Struthio camelus: one gene and its partner. The protein of the gene in region 2 purifies or fractionates together with the protein of the main gene of each other region. This does not show direct contact. Links are inferred from orthologs where the notes say so. Each region holds a gene or a part of one and is shown on either strand. Other genes may lie near its edges.

Region 1 (7,210 bases), on a different chromosome or scaffold from region 2:
ATGCTATGGTGGTTAAAATACTGCTACCTTGTCTACAGTAAAGTTAACATCAGATGAACTACTTTAGGGGTAGTAAAGATAGAAAATTTCAGAGTATAATGTAGTCAAAACCAACATGAATGGTTAAGCAGATGACTTAGGTGGATTGAAGGGAATAAGAGAAAAGGAAGATGAAATAAAAACAGGCTTAGCAAGAAAAGAATTTTCACTTTTGATATATCAGCCAAAGACTTAACGTTTTAGACCAAGAGATCATTATCAGCTCTAAAAACTGCAGTGACCACCTGTACAGCTATCCTCAGCATTCACTAATGACAGGACAATGATGATATAAGTGATACACAGTTTATATAGTTATGTGCATCACATGCACATTACTTACCAGAATGTGGAAACAAATGATATACAGCTTCTACTAAAATATCTTCAAAGAGTGCTTTCTGTATCACAGAGCATGCTTCTTCATATATTTTCTTGTTTACTGTTACTTGAGGGGTTTTTTGAATGTATCAAAGGCTTCTGCTAAAATATATTTGAGATTTTTTTCTCTTCCAAACATTAATAGCATTCATTAATGCTATTAAAATGCTTATTTTAAAATATCTTTTTTTTTCCCCTCTTTGCACATGGTCAGTCATCACTTGCAGGAGGGTGTACTAAGGCTATGAACAAAGAGGAAGATGAACATGCAATAATCAGAACCAGTGGAATACACTTTATCTCAGTGTCCATCCTTGCTGGGCTGCTGCCCAAGTTGGGGTCCTGGCGCTGGATGGAGTCTATAACCTCTGCACCGTGTTCTCAGCAAATACTTCATTGCTTTTTAGTTCTAGGACATGTTCTTCCAGCTGTTGCAAGCTGTTGCAACAGTAAAGCTCTAGAAAAAACATTACATTTTATTGTGGTAGTTGCCCTAGTCTGTCTTCTACTAGGATTGCGGAGTAGGACCAGCCCTGACAGCTAGATCCAGGGCCCCTCAAGTCCAGCGTTCTTTCTACGTTAGAGGCCAGAAAAGGAAGTTTAGGGAAAGAGTATAAGAATGGTGCAGATATTAAGGGTTATCTCCACTGATGTGTTCTTCCTTCCACTCCTAACACTTGGCTTTGGGACTTTCTGAGCCCACGGTATTAGGCTTGGTTTTCTTGCTCAATAGCCCTTAATGAACTTGATGGATTCTTTTCTTTCACTTCTGTCTAATCACACTGAATGCTCCATAACATCTGTATCCCCTTCTTAGTGAACTCATCTGATGTTTTGGGGGTACACTATTCCACTCTGACACCCACAACTTTGCTGGAGAGCAAAAAAATTTCTGCCCTGTAACTTCATGTGCTTCCCTTTCATTCTGGGATTATGAGAACTAAGCCATAATCATTTCTTATCTGCCTGCTTTTACTATCACAGTTTTATAGACCCTTATCATATTCTTCCTCAGCCATCTGTTTTCCAAGCTCAGGAGTCTTAGTCTATTTAATCTCTCTTCATAGAGAAGCCATTCTATATTGCTGCTAATCCTAGTTGCCCTTGTTTGTATCATTAACTATATCCTTTTAGAGACGGTAGGACTAGAAACACAGTCTTCAAGATTTGTGGAGGCACAATGGACTTAAATTCAGCAGAATACTGTTTTCTGTTTTGCTTTCTATTTCTTCCATAGCAATTCCTAACATTTTATTTCCCTTCCGATTGCCACTGTATTGACATTTTCCTAAAAATATACAATGATTCCAAGATTTTTTTCTGCAAAACTGATTTAGAGACTGTTCTTGCAAATCATTTGCTTTTGTCTGTCCTTGAATGTGTTTTCAGGAACTTTGCTGTGGCTTGTCTAGGCACTTCTCAGACCCAGGAACCTGATGACTGCATGGGGGAACACCTGAATGTGTGTGGCGGTAAATGTATGTGGAGCCATGCTTGTATTGTCACAAAAGCTTTCTTGAGGCTATGGCTTTGAGGAAAGATGTTATTTCTGAAATGCGTTTAGGAAGCAAAATGCCTGAAGCAGGCTTCTAGTCAATTTAACCTCTCCACAGCAGAGCTAAAGGTATCTGAAAAGAATGATTTTTTGTAAAGGTGTTGCACAGTAAAAGACTGCCTTTGCTAATCTGGGTAGCAGAGCATCCATGTAAATTCTGCACTAGAGGAAAAGCCCCAGCAGCAGCAGTTGGGTGACTTGATATCCAGGATTTCAGGGTTTATCAGCTGTACTCAAAACTCCGTGTGATCATACGTAAAGTTTTACAGATAACATTTTTTAGCAGTTACCAGTGGTTATTTGTGTTAAGTAGAAATTATTTAAGAAGATAAAATGGCCATTAAGTAATTTGCCAAGTGATACTTCATCCGCTGTTCTCAACAGCTCTATAGAGAAAAGGTTTCTAAGATATGTGAGCAAATATTACTAGACTTTTTTCTTCTGTTTCAGTGTGAATATTCACTGCATTTCTAGAATGATGATTGTTAGAATTTAAGAAGATCTACGGAAAATTAAATCACTGAGTCCATACATCTTAGTCAAACCATTTTAATTAATTCTTCCATTTTATTCATCTGTTAGAGAGGCAATATTTACTTACATAATTCAAGAGTGCTGTGAGTGATAATTAATGCTTATAAGCAGTAGTATGACTACAATGAAGAGCTGGGTACTTGGCAAAGGATTATTAATTTTATTATCATCCTTAAGACTGTACTGAGATATTGTAAATTATTGAAAGATAGCCAATTACCATGCATTTTCCTGAGATGACTTTGTAAGGAGAGTGGTTACAGTGTAGAAAACTCATAATGGATTTGTAAAACTGAGATCATTTTCCATGGTTTTTGCCCATGCTAGAAGCAAAAAAGTTAAAGTTATTAATACATGCTGATTAAGACAAAAATGTACTAATCTGTCTTTTAACTTGTACCTAGGGTGACTCATTTACTGCTTGCTGAAAATTCCCTATCCTCTACCTCAATGATTTTCTAGTCACATGCCAGAAATGTCTGTAACTTGAGGAAAAAGGTTATGGCCAATGATAGGGGTTTCTGAAGTTTAATGAATTCCCACTCATTAATGAGCTGCTGAATCTGATCGTGTATGACCTTCCGCCACAAAGAACATTAGCACGTCAGTTATCACGGTTCAGCAGGTGATGAGCCACTTGCTCAGCTGTGGTTACGCAGTGGCTTTGAATGGGCGGGCATTCGTACACAAGAGTGCGATTAACTGCAACAGAGCTGGATCAAGAGGTGCCTGGTCTGAACACTTCCAGCTACATGTTCTTATTCTTCTCAGCTATACTGATCCGAGTGTTTGGATAACTGTGCTCTGAAATAGGCTACAAAATGAATCTCATTAAAAAAAATCTACTGACGTCACAGTTTTGGGAAAAGGTGTTTTCTAAGAACGGATAATTTTATAAAGCTGGTTCAGAATACAGCTGCAGCTGGAGAATGTCCCCATAAAGATTTAAGGTGGTTCTGTTAATATTCGGCTGCAAATGGTTATTTGGACTGATTTCCCCGCGCTTCCCATGAACACAAGCCAAATTAGACTGTGAAGAAAATGCAGTTATTTCCATTGGCAATCATTTCTTATGCATAATTTCTTCCTTGTATTTGACTGCTTTTCTAGACGTTCCAATTTAGGTTCTTGATGAATTGAGAATAAAAGATTTCCCTATTCTAAACTGAAAGATTAAATACAGAACAAAGACTGTCTATGAGGGGAAATAATGTTATTCTTTGCCCTTCACCAAAGAAGGTGAAAGTGCTAAGTAGGAATCTAATCCAGCCCAGAGCAGGATTCTGTTCTTCACACATCTGCCAATTGTAGGGACCGTTAAGCCTCCTCTGCTCTTTTTTCTGACGTTTTGCTGTTTTGGGAGCTGGAAAGAGCTGTGGTTTAGCTGAAACAATCTAGAAAGTCGACGAAGTTAAGGCACTCTCCCTAGTGGTAGCAATCTCTAAATTATTGGAGAGTACAGTCTCAGAAAGACATGCGATTTTGTGACAGCTGATTGAATTGTACTAGAAAGCTACCAGCACAGGAACGCCACGCAGGAAGGAACGGTGCTGTGAACTCAGCAAGCCGGCGGCTCAGGAGACTATCTCATTTAAGACTCAACAATGCCAAGGCTGAGTTTTTCAGACTTCATTACCAGTCTGCTTTCTTGGCATAGGAAACCAATCACAAGGACGATGGTGACTATTTCAGTGTCTTGATCATGCCGTTGACTTTGAGGATCATGTTAAAAAAAACCCTGCAGCAAGAGAGTGGATGCATTTAGTATTATATGGTGGACTTCCCCATATTGTGTGTGTCACAAAATCTTTTTGTTGCTTCCAACGAGACACTAAGCCTTTGCTCCCTTTCTTCTGGGACAGCTTGCCCTTGGAAGCATCTAACTAAATCCTTACTCAAATATACTTTCAGAAAACAATTTCTCTGGCTGCCGCTTTTGCCCCGTGAGGAACCTCGCACTGTGAGGAGGTGTGGGATGGGAGGTGGCGGGAGGCCCGTCGGCCCGCTGCCAGAGCGGGCACAGCATGGCGGGCGCCCCCGAGCCAAAAGGAAGGCCAGCACACGGGACACCCCACGGGGGACGTGGAGGCGAGGCGCAGCGAGACGCCGCGTGCGTCCTTGGCCCCCGCATGCCCCCGGGCGGCCCCAGCCCAGGCCCCAGCCCGGGCCCTGCCCCATCACCGCCGGGCAGGAAGCTCCCAGCAGCCCCCTCGCTCCCTCCACAGCGGCCTCCCGGGGGGGCTCCCGCCGCGCTCCCAATGGCCAGCCCCGGGCGAGGGGGCGGGGCTCGGCCGCCTGACGCAGTTTCAAACGGGCCAACCGCCGGGCGCCGAGGGAGGGCGGGCCGCCGCGCAGTCTCCGCCTGGGACTTTAAAGCGCCATTTTGTGCCGGGCGGTAGGATATCGATCGTCGCTCCCCACCCGGCGCTGAGGCGGCGGGCGAGGCCAGGCGGCGGCGGCGGGCGCCCGGCCGCGGCGGCGGGTTGCGAGCGACGGCTTGTGCTCTGCCTTGTTTCCCCTCCTTCCCTCCGCCTCCATGACCCGCAGCAGGAAGCAGGCGGCGCTGGAGAGAGGAGCCGGGAAGATGAAGCAAGAAGCGGGGAGCGCCGCGGGAGCCGCGGCGGCGGCGGCGGGGGCAGCAGCAGCAGCAGCAGCCGGTGACGGCGGCGGAGCGGCGCCCGCCGCTTGGGGGCTGGACGGGGAGGCGGAGAAAGTTGTGTACTCGCGCTCGCAGGTCTCCTTCGCCGGCACCAAGGCGCTGGGCGACGCCCTCAAGCTCTTCATGCCCAAGTCCACGGAGTTCATGAGCTCCGACTCGGAGCTGTGGAACTTCCTCTGCAGCCTCAAGCACGAGTTCTCCCCGGTCATCCTGCGCAGCAAGGACGTCTACGGCTACGCCTCCTGCCGCGCCGTCGTCCCCGAGCCGCCGCCGCCCTCGGCCGAGCGGCCGCGCCGCCGCGCCGGCAAGCGGCGCCTGCCGGCCGCCGACGCCAAGCGCCGGGCCGTGGCGGCGGGCGGCAGCGCCAAGCGGCGGCGGCGGCGGCGGCGCCGGAGGAGGGCACGGGGGAGGCAGCGCGCCGCCGACGCGGCCGCGGAGCCGGCCCGCGACGGGGAGGAAGCGGCGGCGGCGGTGGCGGCGGGGCCGCCGGGCGAGGAGGACAGCGAGCGGGCGGGCGCGGCGGAGGGCGCCGCCTGGGAGCCCTTCGGCGGCAAGTCGCTGGAGGAGATCTGGGAGGCGGCCACCCCCCGCCTCACCACCTTCCCCACCATCCGCGTGCGGGGCAGCGTGTGGAGCCGGCGGAGCCTGGCGGCGGCGCGGCGCCGGGCGCAGCGGGTCCTCGGCGTGGACCTGTCGCCCGTGGTGCGGGTCCGCCGCTTCCCGCTGGCGCCGTCCTGAGGCCGCGGGGCCGGGAGGGGGCGAGGACGGCGCCTCACCTTCGCCGCGGTGCGGACAAAGAGACCGGTATCAGTCACCTGTTTACATTGCTTTTGTCTGGATCATGTTCTTCTGCTGCACTTTATGCCTCGCTCGGGCCGGGGCACCGGGCCCCGCCGCAGCCCGGCGGCTCTGGCCTCGCCGCCGCCGGGGCGCGGCCAGACGCGAGGGACTGTCCGGCCGGCGTCTCGCGTGGGGACCAAGTTCCACTTCCACCTTTTTTCCTCCCATTGGGCTACCTCACTGGTCCAGAAGTCCACCCAAGAAGTTATTTTCCAAAGGAACTTACTTTCATGCTTGTATAATAAAGCACCATCTGATTCTTCCTTTTTTTTTCCCCTTCCCCTCCTTTCCTTTTCTTCCCCCCCCCCCCCCCCCCATCCAATGGATTATGTATGCTTTGTGGTGTTGCACTAGTATGTGCTCAGGGTATTTTGAATCCCAAGCATTCCCGAGTTTCAGTTTACTCTGATTAAGGATGCATAAAGAATGGAGGTTCAGGACTTGTGGCAGTTCTTGATGGTGCAAAAACTTTTTTTTTTAATTTCATGGGCTTAGTGATATATAAAGATGTATTGCGCAGTATAATTGTTACACTTTTGTATCTAAAGTCATTTTTAAAGTTTTCTAGTTGAACTGAGTATTTGTTTCTATTGAGCACCTAAAGATAGAATCATCTTGATATTTTATAACCCTGTTTACTTTAGGGAAGCTCATTTGGTCAACCGAAGTGAACTTAATAAAAGTCAAAGAAAAGTGATGTTTCAGTTCAGTGAAGCTGACTGCACAGGCATGGGTTTGCTGGTGAACTACACCATGTATGTCACTTAACGAAGACACAACTGGGTGTTTCCAGTGAACAAGCTCAGAGGTGGTGAAGAATGTATCTGCTCATCAAAGCAATACATAGGTGTCTTAAGGCATGCTATCATATGATGTTGTCACAGCAAAAAGGCTGTAGTTCACACGACCCGAATATCACACTGAAGTGCCTATCTCTGCAAAAAGGGGCAAGACTTCATAACGAAACAGCACTGGTTGTCATCTTGGGTTACTAGGTGACTCATGGTGGATAATCATATTAATGTAATTACTTGCACATAAATATTTTATGTAAACTTCTCTTGGATTTCACTGTAGCCTCTGATGCTAGCTTCATCAGCTTAGTTATTTCGACTGAAAAATAACATTGTCACTCTAAGGGGTAAGCAATCTTTGTTCAAACTGTCTTTTTAAGGGCTTTGTTTTGATCTTGCACCTTGCAG
Region 2 (7,541 bases):
ATCCCAATACAAGCATGGTCCTTGTTCCAACCCCCATGTATTCACTGCACATAACACTCCTAATACGGATTAAATCCAGAACAAAAAGTAGGTTACTACTTTGTCCAGCGTAACCCAGTAACACACCGTTATGCTAGCCAGGATACACGATACCGACAAAGTCGTATATAGAGTTGAAAAAAGGTTTTCCCAAGGCCTTCTAAGGCTCAGAGATGTTTCTAGGGAAAAGGGGGAGGACCATCAGGGATGCATATTTCCTTAAACCCAAGAGAAGAAGAGTAGAGATTCTAGCAGTTAATCAAGATATACCTAGATGTATTAACTGCGAATCTGGTGGGGAGCAGCTACATATCTGCAGTGTAATAAGGAGTCACCCATTACTCTTACATAGTAGTAAATGCTTATCAACAGCCAAACGTTATCTTAATGCAACTATAACGTTGCCTTCTGATTTTCAAGTTTGCAAGAGTTAAGGTTCCTATAGCAATACTAACTCAGCAGCTAAGCTGTACATACTATGTATGTAACCTAAGCAAATGATGTTGAACGCGATCCATCCCCTTTTCCACGTCGTTTCTCATACTGGCCACCTCTGTAGGCATGTATTATCCCCGCCTGACTGCAAACTATAGAGCTGTTACAATTTTGCATTTGCCCGGGCAAGGCAAGAGAAGTCCTTCTCCAAGGCCAGAAAGCCTCCTCGGCTCTGCGATCCCGCCCAACTCGCCTCTTATGTGAGAGGGGGGTTTTGGCAGCCCCAAAGGCGGTGGGGTGGGTGAGGTGGGAGGGCAGGGATCAGGGCCCCGGCGCGGTGGGCCATGCCATGTCTCCGTCTGAAAGGCAAGGGAGAGGGGAGAAGCAGCAATTCCCCCCGCCCCCCACCCGAAAATAAAACGGAATAACCCCCGGGAGGCCTGGGGGCGGTGGGGGGGGCAGCGCAGCGGCTCAGGCCTGCGGCGGGCGCAGGCGAGGCGGCCGGGGCCGAGCTAACGGGACTAAGGCGGGCCGGCCCGGGGGAGGGGGGCGAGGGCCGCGGGAGCCGCCCGCCCGCCCGCAGCGCCCTCGCCGCGGGGCCGGGGCCCCCTCGCCGCCCGCCTCCCCCGCCCCCAGCGCCGCCACGTTTCCCCCGGGCCCCGCACGCCGCCGCCCGGAGCCTGGCGCCTGAAGGCGGCGCGGCCGGCCCAGGCCGCCCCCTCGGCGCTGGCGGGCGCGCTTTGTCTGGCGAGCGCGGGGGCCGCCGCCGCCCCCTCATCCCCCCCGCCCCGCCAGCCGAGGGGCCTCCGTGGAAATGCCAGGGCCCCACGAAGCCCCGCTCCTTCCGTTACCCCCCGCCGCCAAGGAAGCGGCAGCGCTCGGCTGAGGGCGGCGGGGGGGGGGGGGAAGGGGGGCGAGGCGGGCTGCCCCCCGCCTTTCCCGCCGTGGCCTTGAGGCGAGGGCCGCGGTGCAGGAGCGCTCCGCGGGGCGCCCGCTCCCCCGTGGCGGGAAGGGGGGGGAGGAGGAGGAGGAGGCGGCGGGGGGGGGGAAGGTTATCGAAGCGAGAGAAAGAGGGAGAGAGAGAAGGATACAGACTTCAATGGTGCTCAAGCCGCTCGGGTTTCCCGTCTCCTCCTCGCTCTCGCCCTGCGCGCACTGAGCAGCGGCGGCAACAGCGACATCTGAGGGGGGTTGAGGCGGGCGAGGGGGGGGTGGGGGAGGGGAAGGGGGAGGGCGGGGCGGCAGCGGCTGGGCGGCAGCGCGGCGCGGCGCGGCGCAGGGCGGGAGGCGGCGGCTGCTGGCGGGGCTGGGCTGGGCGAGCTCTGCGTGCCGGCGACTGACGGGGCAGAGCGCACGACGCCGCCTACGCGCGAGCTGCAACCTCCTCCCGTCGTCGCCGCCAGTACAGGAGGGGGGCCAAGACGTCTCTCCAACGGGGGGCGAGTGCAGGACCGCGTCAAGCGTCCAAAAGAAGGAAGATGCCTCGCGGCGACAGAGAAAGCGACTGGGTGAGCGGGAAGTGGCGGGAGGGGGAAACGGGCCCGGCGGGCCGGTAGCCGCCGCCGCCGCCATGATGATCATCGCCATGAGGGCGTGCTGGGTCGGGGCGGCCGCCGCCCGCCGCAGGGCGAGCGAGGCCTTCAGTCCGTGCGGGGGGGCGCCTGGGGCGATCCCCAGGTGCGGGGAAGGCGGGCAGGGAGCGTTTGAGCGGCTTTGAAGTTCGTTTTGCCGTTGCTGAGGCGGGCCCGGGCCGTTTGGAGCGCGGCCATTTCCCGCGTTGCGGCGAGGCGGCCTAGTCTTGAGCGAGCGCCAGGGAGGGGGGAGGGGAGGGAGGAAAGCGGGAGTTGGAAAGCGGTTGGGGGCCTAGAAAGCCCTTTATTAAGTGGGGGAAACGGGTCCGAGTCAGTTTAGGGTGCTTCGCTCCGGGAGAGGGGTCGCTTCCCGGGGAGCTGGGAGGAGGGGGAGGAGAAGAGGGGGCGGGAAGAAAGGAGCAGCCCTAGCGCCATTTCCCTGGTGCGCGGGGCGGCGGCACTCACCCTTTGTCGCGGTGTGTGCGGGGCCGGTGAAGAGAGAAAAAGGGAGGGAAAGAAAGGAGGAAGGAGAAATAAATGTCTAAGTGAGTGGCTTGCCCGATGGGTTTTCTGTCCGTGTTGCGGGGTAGAGCGGAGCAGGCTGCGGCGAAGTCCGCCTCCCTTCGCTGGCTCTCGGCCCCCGGCGATGTCTCGGTGCTGGCGCCAAAATCTGGGCAGCTATCACTTCCTCCTACCCGGGCGGAGGGGGAAGGGGCCAACCCGCCGACAAAAAGGGGAGATGTCGGGGGCGCGCGTAGGCACCGCGCTGTGCTCCCGCCCGGGCCCTGCCAGTACCACAGGTGGCCGGGGGGGGGGAGTAAAGGTGGGGGGGGGGAACGAGCCCTTTGGCTAATTATAACCCCCTTGCTTTGAGGTTGAGTCTTCGGGGCGGTTCGGCAATTTCCGGAAAAAAAAAAAAAAACCACCCACGACGCGGTGCCAAGTCTGGTCGGGGCCGTTTCGGCTCCGCTCGGGCACGTATTAGAAAGCTCTTCCGTTGTCGGAAACTGCCGAAGGCGCTGTATCGTCGATGGCTGCTGCGTCTTTCTCTCCGGAAATTGCCGAGTGGGATCGGATCGCCATTCTTGTCCGTTTCGGCAAATTCCGGAAATAGCCGAAGCGAATCGAATGGGCTTCCTTTCCTATTTCGGCTTTTTCCGGCGACTGTCGAAGTGGATAAGCTCGACGACGACAGCTCCTTCGGCTCATTCCGGAGACAGCCATTACTAACGGAGTTGATGACTTTTTATTACGTGATTAAAACACATAGGGGCGTTATACAGAACTGTTGCCCCTTTGGAGATATTTAAGCTCCAGATTCGAGCTTTTTGACTAAAACATCGGCAGCGAGTCTGGGCTGGAGAAGGAGGGCGCTAGCACTACGTGGAGCTGAATTTCAAATTACGTAACAGTTAAGGCAGCCATTACTGAGCAGTTGTGCGGTATTCTCAAGCAGGGATACGTAAACCATGAAGAATATGGTATGTGAAAAGGGAAAAATACAGATTCGGCTGTTAGGGAGGGTGGCGTGTCTGGTTGTGGAGATGGAGTGCTTTTTCAGGATCGGGGGGTTAGGAGCAGAGTCGTCCTCGGGCAGCGTAGGTCTGGGTGCTGCTGCCGACCCCCGTTAGCGGCGGCGCGGCTAGCGGCTAGGTGCCTCTCCGCAGAGGAAGCGTTAGCAGGGAGGAAGGTTCTGGAAGCGGCGGTTGGGGCTGGTGCGCACTCGAGAGGGGAGGCGGAAGCTGCGGTAGCTGTGCGTGCGGGTACGAATTCTTAAATCTCCCGACATGTCCTTTAGCTGAGCTGCCGTTAGGGTGGTGCTGCGGGGAAGGGAGAGGGGGACACACACCACTATGGAGGTCAGTTAATGCGCGATCCGGGACTCTACTTTGCCCTGCGGGACGCTGAGCGGCCGGGGTGGCGCTGCTGATAATGGCGGTAACGAGGGGGAGGGGTAAAATGGCGGCGCCGAGACTCGCTCGTGCGTGAGGCTTTCAGGATGAGACCTAGGAGGGGAAAGGGGGTAGGGAGGGAGAGCAGTAGAGGCTGAGAGCCAGGCTGCCGTTGTTATCTTTATGGGAACAGAAAGCAATCGCTTGCAAGCTCTCCCTGGTAAGGCGTGTGTAGCCGGACGCTAGAAGCGGTTTGCAGCGACTGATTTGTGTTTTTCCTGAAGGCCCGAGTGTAACTTAGCTTCTTTATTCTGGCGTCGGTTCTTTGTGAATTTCTTTCCTTCCCGCCGCATCGCTTTCCCTGGAGGCAACGGTTGCTTCTGGGCGCCATTTTCCTCATCTAACTGCGGGGGCCCTTGTTTTCCTGATAGCCGCCACATGGCGGAGCCGGCATGGCAGCCGCTTCACTCCTGATAATACCGGGCTGCGGGGGAAGGGGGAGGACGTAGACTGATGGATCGGAAAGCCATGTAAGAGGTGTTAGGGGCTAACGGGGCGCGACTGCATAGCGAGTGGTTGGAAGTGTCTTTCTGGTTTGGGGCCAGTAAATCTGGGGAAGTGTAATCGCTTGGCAGTTTCCATTTTGGCGGGCAGTGCCAGCTCAGAGATTCCACTTACCTGTTTTGTTAACCGTTTTTGTTACTCGGATTCTTAACTCTGCAGAAGTCTGCAGTCAGCTTGGAGTATTTGTACCCATGCTGTTATGACACGAAACGCACTTACTTGGTCTGGTGATGGATTTTCCAGTGTAGGCTTCATGTTTTCCAGTCCTTTGAAGTGTTGCTTTTAGCCTGTGAAGGAAGGCTTAAAATAAGCCCTAAGGAAGATTTACAGATTTCCAAAAGATTTTCTCTCACAGTTTGTTACTGCGGTAGAATGCACTCTGGAAGTCTTTAAAGGAGTTTTTTTATTCTGTCTTTTATATTAGCTTGCTACCAAATGAGGGTTTTCATGAAGATTCTGAGTGGGACTGGAAGGATAATAGCTTATATCATATGTTTCACAGCTTCAACGTGAACCGTGTAAAAGATTATCAGAGCTCTCTGGATCTTGGTCGTAGGTTAATTCTAGATAGGAATTTGAGCCTCTTAAACAACATTTAATGCAAATAGACTATGTTCAGAGGCTCTGCCTGTATTAGTGGAACAGCATGTTTATGATGTTTTCACACAGTGGTTTTGATTCAAGAAGTGATAGGGTTTTTTTTATTGCTATGTCCTGACATGTATGCGGTGCCTAGATGTTGGTTTTGGGTAGGGCACATGCTGTATGACACTAATACACAGGAGATGATGAATGTGAGAATTCTTAAGAATGCAAGAGTGTTTCATTTTTCTGTTTTATGTTTTTTAGTAATGTATGATACATGTTTGTCCTTTAATAATCAAACCAACTTTTTATGGCTCGTAGCGTTCTTTGCTTGAGTTTCGTTTAAATTTCTGTCGCTGTTTTCACAGATAAACGTTTATGAGAAATATCAGTATGCCTACTGAATTTGCCTGAATTTGCGTATTTCTGTCCTAGTTGCATTATTAGACATGTGGTAATTGATTATACAGGGAGAAGTGTTCTTTTCTGGTCGTGTGAAACTGTAGCAAGTACTTCAGCTCTGCTGCTAGAAAATTAGAGACTAATGTGAAGAGAGAGGTTTTTTTGCAGTATCATTACTTTAAATGATTTCTTAGCTTACTTGGGTTCTTAAATAATAGTATGCATGCCTTGCCACATGTGACTTACCAAATGAGGTATGCACCACCCCTTATTCCATTTAAGAGCTCATAGGAAAGAAACGGTAACGTGGGTTTACCCCTTTTAAGTTATGTTGTGACAAATTTTGCCCATCTGCACAATGAGAAGGTAGCTTCCTTTGTGTTTCTTAGAAAATACTTGGAACCCGCTATAGGATCTAGCGTTTCTGAGTGACACTGAAATTGATTGTTCTCAAATGCAGCATTTATATCAAAATTGTTTTTATGATTGTTGACTTGTTTCTCAGACTGAATGCAGTATCTTCAGCTGGTGATAGTGATCTCTTTTTTTTTTTTTTTTAATCAAAACTGATTCAGTATTGCTTCTAATAATGGTCTTCCTTGTTAATTGATTCTAGATGCTATCTGCTCTGGACAAGCTCAGAAAGCATATTTTGGCCTGCAGGATGATTGGCTAACACTTTTCAAAGTATCTGCACTAGGCTTTTTTGTTTGTTTTCCAAATCTCATTATTTTTCATTGGTTTTCTAATATCCTTTTTGCATTTCTCCTATTGCACAGTGCATAATTAGTTATGGTGTGTTGCTTAGTTGTAGCGAATGGTGGCGTGCTGGAGGTGTTTAAAAAAAAAAAAAAAAAAAAGGTGTTCCTGATTTTAAAATGACTTATCATTATAAGGGTGAAATAGTCATTGTATTCGAACTCTTATTTGGCAGGAGACCTGGCAGGACAGTTATATCTCTTTAGAGCAAGAGTCTGATGTCTTTTAAAGTTTGTGAAATAGGACTATTGTTTGTGTGCGGTTGTTTTTCTTTTTTTTTTTTTTTTTTTAAACCATTGCTGTTTGACGTAGAAAACTACAGAGTGCCTAATCTAGTGACACACTGTCATACAGAAAATGATCTTTTTGATGCCTTACTATATTTTCTTTTTTTTTTTTTTTTTTTTTCAATTGATGGAGGTTGGGAGATTGTTTCTTTCTGCTTTGGTGTATACTGTATGCAAAATAATAGATGTAAAGCCTACTTTATTCTAGTTCCAATGGTGCCCGATCCCAGACCTAGATTAATTTTGCAAATACTCTAGTTTTATACATTTTAAAGAGTTAATAAAGGGAAAATGAATCAATGACCTGTTGTAAAAGGTCTAAAGCTATCTCTTTGTTTTTTAATGTCTTGGGAAAATAGTATGGTTGTATTCATGTGCAGCAAGTTGAGGCAGAACATTTTTTAAAAATATATGCTATCTGGAATAGAATCATACAGTATGAACGGGTTGGTGTTACCTGTAATGAGAACGTTTTGTTAGTTCGCAGCATTGTTTTTCCTGGCACAACCTGAAAAAGCTTCTGATAAGACCTTTGGGAGGATTCCTCTTCTGGGAGTATTTAAATGTAGTCTCTTTTTTAATGTTTGGAGGGAGAGATGGGAAAAGTACATTGTTAAAATCTATATCATAGAATTGCACAAGTTGCTTAATTTCTGGAATAGAAGTCAAACATTGTAGAACCGCCTAATCTTATCTTGAAAAATGCTTTCTACGGAAAGTTTTTAACTCTTAAGAAAATCTCACTGACTGTCTAATTGTGCAGTAGGGGAAATGCTGTAAATTGTATTAATGTAAACTTCTTTTCTGTGATAGAGGGAAAAGGAGCAGTTTCGCAAACTGTTCATTGGTGGCTTAAGCTTTGAAACAACAGAAGAAAGCTTGAGGAACTACTATGAACAATGGGGGAAGCTTACAGATTGTGTGGTAAGTTGGGCATACCAATTCATATAATGATGATATCATACGTTTAGAAAGGATTAAAAATAGATTTTTGTTTCCTGAACAGT

Evidence for each region. The genes of interacting proteins can lie anywhere in the genome.
Region 1: the proteins of CBX3 (region 2) and CCDC71L purify together in Homo sapiens (affinity purification with mass spectrometry; 3 studies listed by BioGRID and IntAct, with this or other methods). This does not show direct contact. The link is inferred for Struthio camelus from reciprocal best matches to the Homo sapiens genes CBX3 and CCDC71L.

The regions. Positions count from the first base shown.
Region 1 is NC_090942.1:15,913,806-15,921,015, reverse strand, and holds CCDC71L (coiled-coil domain-containing protein 71L), read left to right. Parts: upstream 1-4,879; 5' UTR 4,880-5,045; coding exon 5,046-5,906; 3' UTR 5,907-6,705; downstream 6,706-7,210.
Region 2 is NC_090943.1:38,642,215-38,649,755, reverse strand, and holds the start of CBX3 (chromobox protein homolog 3), read right to left. Parts: upstream 3,022-7,541; 5' UTR 2,604-3,021; exon of another isoform or gene 2,511-2,603; intron 1,983-2,510; coding exon of another isoform or gene 1,953-1,982; exon of another isoform or gene 1,850-1,952; intron 1,840-1,849; exon of another isoform or gene 1,566-1,839; intron 448-1,565; exon of another isoform or gene 310-447; intron 1-309. Other genes in the region: HNRNPA2B1 (heterogeneous nuclear ribonucleoproteins A2/B1), read left to right, coding at 1,953-1,982, 7,348-7,458.